2 linked regions of the Cricetulus griseus genome follow. The protein of the gene in region 2 purifies or fractionates together with the protein of the main gene of each other region. This does not show direct contact. Links are inferred from orthologs where the notes say so. Each region holds a gene or a part of one and is shown on either strand. Other genes may lie near its edges. The genes, in order: Grb2 and Erbb3.

Region 1 (2,990 bases), on a different chromosome or scaffold from region 2:
TCCTGATGCTAAACTCTGAAGCCACTGAGTGGAGACCCAGCTCAGAGACAGAGTGCTTGGCAAGTGCAAGGCTTCGGGTTCCCAGCCCCCAAACCAGGAAGGGGTCAAACTGATCAAGGACATAAATGGGGTGCAATGTCAGTTTCTGCCTTTTACTCTGATGACCTCATGTTGGGAACTTCTGCTTAGCTTCAGGGTAGTCTGCATGGAACCAGAGCCAGCAGAGGGGACAGGAGCACCGCCCTCTTGCTTATTAACTCACTGCAGGGGAGGGGTGGCACCCGGAAACTCCCTAGCTGTGATACCACAATGAGGTTGTTTGCTCAAAGTCATTTCTCTTTTGTTCAACTATTAACCCTTGCTTTAAGAGCCTTGTCTCACCCTAGAAGCAGCAGTCATAGTCAAGGGGTCTCAGCTACTTCCTCTGAGATCGGGAGGAGCCTTGTAAGCCCAGCTCTTGATCTAAACCAATTTCCAAATGATGAACTAATCACTTGTTCTGGGGCCACAGGGGCTAGATGTACCAGCCTGTGTTTAATCCCAGCATCCGTGAGGCAGAGGTAGGTGGAACACTGTGAATTCCAGGTCAGGCAGGGCAACAGTGAGAGACCCTGTCTAGAATATAAAGACGTCATCAGGGAGAAAAGAAGATGCACTGAGAAGAATTCATTGTATGTTTATTCACAGTTAATCACTACCTACCAAATCGCTATTCGCAGAAGTTAAGGGAGTAAGTACATAGGTCTTTTTATTTAAACACTGATCTTTAAATATATACACACAAAACTTAGTTCAGCAAGGCTTCATGATATACACCAATTCCAAAATAAAACAATCAAATGGCCCAGGTGTAACTCATTATTTCATTTTATCATCAGCAGGGAAAGAGGAAGCAAAACCAGGAGGGCAGGGACAGCTCCATTTGGAAGGCCGCCCCCAGGGCAGGGCTGAGTCCATCTCCCAACAGAGTCCAGGGGAGACCCCACCCCGAAGAGCCCAGCAGCCCAAGGACACTGCCAACTCCAAGGGAGACTAGGAGGAGCCTTGTTTTGCTGTGGGAAGGAGGCTAGGTGCAGAGATTGGTGTACAGAGGACTGGAAGCTCACAGGAGACAGACAAAGAGCTTTCTTTGCATGGGTTGTGCTCTTTCCCACCTCACACAGCTTCATGGGATGCGGCAGCAGAACAGCTGTGAACACACCAAGCCCCAACCCTGCTATCTGCGCTCTTGGGCAGGTTGGAAAATACACAATTGAGAGCAAGGACCTAATTCTAAGAGCAAGGACAACGAAAAGCCATACTCTCAGCTCCCACCCGAGTGCAGGCCTGTGACAGGGGAGGAAGGACAGCTTGGCTGCCACCTGCCCCTGTCTTCTGTGTTTGACACTCACTGGCTCCAGGCATGGAAAGGGCAGACCACAGCCAGGGAGCAGAGTCTTCCAAGACCTCTGGCCCCTCCAGACAGGCAATACCACGCTCTGCTTCTCCTGTTTCCTTTCTCTATCCTGTTTCCCCTGCCCTGAGAGGAAAATATTATACAGGATAGGAAAAGCTCTGGACTGTCTTTAACTTATATAAAAAAAAGTAAAAACACCACTCATAAAACACCCTTGAAATAAGAAAAAAGGCACTATGAAAAACAACATTTGAGCAACACCTGACGGGGAGACAGTGGGAGGAGGCGCAGGTCTGCAGTGACTCGGGGACCAGAGGTGGGTGGCGTGCCTCCTTCCCCTACAAAGTCCAACCTTGACGGGATGCTCCAGGCTTGGGCTGGAGGCAGATGCCCTCAGGCATCTCTGGCAGAAGCCCATTCACGGGCCCCAGGTGCCCTGGCCGCCCCTTGTGTGTGAAGAATATAGCTCTTTTAGTCCATTCATCTCCACAGACATTTTGCATAGAGAAAGTACCAGCCCACTTGGTTTCTTTTAGTATTGGCATCAGCTGGGACTATACGTGGCCTCAAACGTCATGCACTGAAGGACAGGAAAGAAAGGATGAGAAAAGGAGATAGGAGGGGAACAGGAGCAGCAGTGAGATTCTGTAATAAAAACTGTAATTCAATTCAATAGGTTAAGTTTTGGCATTATGAAATCAAACACCCCTTCCCACCCCCCAAAGTTTCAACCTAAGTGAGAGGGTCACCAGTAGGACCCAGCCAGATGTTCTGCACTCCCTCACAAGCTGTGACAGGCAGCATGTGGGTGCAATTCTTGTGAATGGTCTCAACTTTTCACTTTCTTTAAATAATCTCTTCTGCTTCTTAGACGTTCCGGTTCACTGGGGTGACGTAATTGCGGGGAAACATGCCGGTCTGCCCATGGCAGGCCCCCTTCCACCAGTTGGGATCTGAGTTATCCATGACATGGATGAAGTCTCCTCTGCGAAAGCCCAGCTCACCGTCTTCCTGGGGGTCAAAGTCAAACAGTGCCTGGACATACGTTGGCTGCTGCAAAAGACAAGCAGAGGACGAGAACGGCGTTCATTCCTCATGCTGCCAGCTGCCTTGTCAGCCACTGCTCACTGTCCACCCACTCCCAAGGCAGCCTCCCTCTAACTTCCTCCATCCCACCATCCCTCAATCCTAGCTGGGTTCAGAGTAATCCTTTACTGATATCCAAAACCCACTCGGGTACAAACACCTATGTCACTGACGATGGCCAATGGGCCTATTAAACTAGTGGGGGCGGCAACAACATAGGCTGTGCGCACCAGAGCTCTGCTAACAGGTGTAAAAATGTCTGTGTTCCAGTCACTTAGGTCCTACAAGTCAAAAGGCAGTTCTGACTGAAACCCCTGCTTGTAATTAAGCAAAGGACAGGGGTTCGAGCAGACAGCCCACCCGGGTCTGGAAGCACTTCTCCCTGGTGGCAAAACTACCTGACTGACAACTGCAGATCCTCAGTGTGGATGAAGGCAGCCTGGTGCACAGAGTGGTGCTGCGGAGGCCCTGGCTTACCTGTGGCACCTGCTCTATGTCCCGCAGGAAT
Region 2 (3,816 bases):
GCACCTCTCCAAGGAGTTCTGTTTCCTTAGGATGAAGACTATGATTTAGGAGCCAAGAGGCTGGGTTATAATACCACAGCTTGCTTAGCATATTTAAAGCCCTGGGTTTGATCCCCGGCACAGCAGGGAAAAATGACATCTGGAAACTGTGTTTTGAGGTGTGATGTGTTTATTACCACTGAGTCATGCATGCCTCTTCTTTGTTGAAAAGTTTTCACTATTCCCCCAGAGACCCCTGGCACAAGATCCCTGCGCTGGACCCAGAGAAGCTCAATGTTTTCAGGACGGTCCGGGAGATCACAGGTGAGGAAGATCAAAGACTTCCTTTGCTGGAAGGAGCAGATGACCCACCGACATGCATTATAGTTAAACCACTTAAGAGAAGTCACACTCGAGGACTGGAGAGGTGGCTCAGAGGTCCTGAGTTCAATTCCCAGCAACGATATGGTGGCTCACAACCATCTGTAAGGAGATGTGGTGCCCTCTTCTGGCATGCAGGCATACATGCAGGCAGAATGCTGTATATAAATAATAATAAAAAAAAAGTTACACTCTTCTGGACAGAAGTGGCGCACGCCTTTAACCCCAGCACTCGGGAGGCACAGGCAGATGGATCTCTTTGAGTTTGAGTCCAGCCTGGTCTTCAGAGAGAGTTCCATACAGCCTTCAAAACAATACAGAGAAACCCTGTCTCGAAAAAAAAAAAGGAAAGAAAAAAAAAAGTCACACTCCAAGGCACAGTGGGACAGTGACAGGGAACCTGAGGGCAGGAGAAGACTCCCTGCTTATATGCCTCTCTCCAACCCCTCAGGGTACCTAAACATCCAGTCCTGGCCTCCTCACATGCACAACTTCAGTGTGTTTTCCAACCTGACAACCATCGGGGGCAGAAGCCTCTACAAGTGAGTAAGGTGGAGGTGATATCTTCTCCAGACATTGCGATGGGCGTCTCCTTATGAAACACAGCGCGTCTCCCAACCAACAGCCCCCAGTAGTCTGCTAACACAATGGGGGGGGGCAAATGTGGGGTTGTAACCTTAACATTGCAGAGGCTGACCCAGGAGGGTCACAGCAAGTTCAAGACCAGCTTGGGCTGCATAGTGAATTCCTGACCTGCCTCAGAGATGTAGTAAGATCTGTCTCAGAAAACAATCCCGCCAAAAGAGGGAATCCCTCTCCATGGCTCTAACTTAGCCTGGAGCAAATTTGTTGAGTGGAAATAAATCCCACTTTCCCTTTATAGTCTGCCTTCTAATTCTGCCTCCTTATTCCAGCCGGGGCTTCTCCTTGTTGATCATGAAGAACCTGAATGTCACATCCCTGGGCCTCCGGTCCCTGAAGGAAATTAGTGCTGGGCGTGTCTACATAAGTGCCAATCAGCAGCTCTGCTACCACCATTCTCTGAACTGGACAAGACTGCTCCGGGGGCCTTCGGATGACAGACTTGACATCAAGTATAATCGGTCTCCGAGAGAATGTGGTGAGAGGAAGGGCCTACCAGGAGTAAGAACTGGTGGTTGGGGAGGTGAGACCCTCAAAGTGGAGTAGGCTTGAGGGATGGAGCCAGTAAGGACGTGGGACGTGGCAGCAATGAAGAACTGTTCAGAAGAAGGCTTCCTGGGAGTCCTGAGTCTTTTCTTAACCTGTCTGTTCTTTTCCAGAGGCAGAGGGTAAAGTGTGTGACCCACTGTGCTCCTCCGGGGGATGCTGGGGCCCAGGCCCTGGCCAGTGCTTGTCTTGTCGAAACTACAGCCGGGAAGGTGTCTGTGTGACTCACTGCAACTTCCTGAAAGGGTACAGTGTGGAGGATGCCAAGAGGGTGGAGTAAGGCCCAGGGATGGATGGAGGAGTTCAGGCGCTAATGAACTGTGATTTTCACTCTCCCTTCCCCCCCTCCTCCCACCCCCCACTCACTCTGTAGCCCAGACGGGCCTTAAATCCTTCTGTCTAAACCTTCCAAATGCTGGGATTACAGCTATGAGCCACCGTGTCTGGCTCGATCGAAGGGAGCAAGGGAGTGAGGGAGTGGGGGCAGGGAGAGACAGACAGACAGGACCTTATAGTCTTGGCCTGGAACTTGCTATGCAGGACCAGACAGGACTCAGAGATCTTCCTGCTTCTGCTTCCTGAGCGCTGAGGTTAAAGGTGTGCATGACCACATCTGGTCCTCTATTTCTTTCTTGTTTGCTTGCCTGCCTGCTAGCTTTTGTTTTTATACAGGGTCTCACTCTGTAATCCAGGCAGGCCTTGAACTCATGGAAATCTTCCTGCCTTAGCTTCCAAAGTTCTGGGATTACAGATGTGAGCCACCACCCCTGGCTTTGTAGGCAGCTTTCTGCTTGTGTCTTGGTGAGCATGAAGCAGAAAGCCCTTATTACAGAATAAGGGCATGAAGGTCAGAACTTTGGAAGTGACCTCCCTCTGTCTGTCCCCCACTGCAGGGAGCCTCGGGAGTTTGCTCATGAGGGTGAATGTTTCTCCTGCCACCCAGAATGCCTTCCCATGGAGGGCACCAGCACGTGCAATGGCTCGGTACAGTAGCAGCCTTGGGATCTGTGAGGGAGATGGGCAATGTCTACAGAATGATATGGCCAAATTCCCAGGGGAGCCTGAGAACCCTGGGATCTGTACATGAGAATCCTGAAGGGATAAAGGCTGGAATTAATACTGAGATCTCATTCTCCACAATCCTCTTCTACTCAGGGCTCTGAGGCTTGTGCTCAATGTACCCATTTCCGTGATGGGCCCCACTGTGTCAACAGCTGCCCCCATGGAATCCTAGGTGCCAAGGGTCCAATCTACAAGTACCCAGATGCTCAGAATGAATGTCGGCCCTGCCATGAGAACTGCACTCAGGGGTGAGTGATGGGATGAAAAGGAGGTGGGGGAGTGGGGACATTTAATTAGGATGAGGGGAGAAGCAAGAAGAGAGGTTCAGCTACTTAAGACTCACTTCCAGGGCTGGAGAGATGGCTCAGTGGTTAAGAACACTAGCTGGTCTTCCAGAGCTACTGAGTTCAATTCCTAGCAACCACATGATGGCTCACAACCATCTGTAGTGAGATCTGGTGCCTTCTTCTGGCAGGCATATATGCAGGCAGGACACTATATATATAATAAATAAATAAATCTAAAAAAAATTCACTTCCAGCTACAGAGTAAAGGACTGGAGGAAGAGAAACTCACAGCACGAAAGTAGACCACCGTTAGGGGAAGCTAGAATAAGCTCGGGAGTTTAATTCAAGAAAAATTGTAGTGAGCCAGAGATGGGGAATGAGATACTCAAGAGGGGTGGGAGTGGAGTCTCCTCTGTTTAGGAGCTCAGTTTGGGGCTCCCGGTGCCACAATAGGTTTGTTCTGAAAGAAGCTTTTATATGTAGAGGTTCTTGGACCTGAGTCTCTATTGTCTCTTAAAAAATTACTTTTAGGGCTGGAGAGATGGCTCAGAGGTTAAGAGCACTGACTGTTCTTCCAGAGGTCCTGAGTTCAATTCCCAGCAACCACATGGTGGCTCACAACCACCTTGAATGAGATCTGGTGCCCTCTGCCGGCATGCAGGCAGAAGACTGCATACATAATAAATAAAATCTTTTAAAAAATTACTTTTATAGGAGTTGCATGTAAAAACAATTACTTTATAAATATTTATTGTGTATATGGGCACAGTGTGTGCATGTGTGCTATGGTGTGTGTATGGAGATCAAATGACAACTTAAGGAAGTTGACTCTCTCCTTCCCTTATATGGTTTCCAGGGATCAAACTCAGGTCCTCAGGCTTGGCAGCAAGGACCTTTACTGCTGAGCCACCTTGTTGGC

The links.
Region 1: the proteins of Erbb3 (region 2) and Grb2 purify together in Homo sapiens (affinity purification with mass spectrometry; 3 studies listed by BioGRID and IntAct, with this or other methods). This does not show direct contact. The link is inferred for Cricetulus griseus from reciprocal best matches to the Homo sapiens genes ERBB3 and GRB2.

The regions. Positions count from the first base shown.
Region 1 is NC_048600.1:128,239,808-128,242,797, forward strand, and holds the end of Grb2 (growth factor receptor-bound protein 2), read right to left. Parts: coding exon 2,960-2,990; intron 2,450-2,959; coding exon 2,264-2,449; 3' UTR 661-2,263; downstream 1-660. UniProt on the Homo sapiens protein: Non-enzymatic adapter protein that plays a pivotal role in precisely regulated signaling cascades from cell surface receptors to cellular responses, including signaling transduction and gene expression.
Region 2 is NW_023276806.1:129,327,168-129,330,983, forward strand, and holds part of Erbb3 (receptor tyrosine-protein kinase erbB-3), read left to right. Parts: intron 1-229; coding exon 230-303; intron 304-811; coding exon 812-902; intron 903-1,274; coding exon 1,275-1,480; intron 1,481-1,661; coding exon 1,662-1,794; intron 1,795-2,441; coding exon 2,442-2,532; intron 2,533-2,703; coding exon 2,704-2,858; intron 2,859-3,816. UniProt on the Homo sapiens protein: Tyrosine-protein kinase that plays an essential role as cell surface receptor for neuregulins.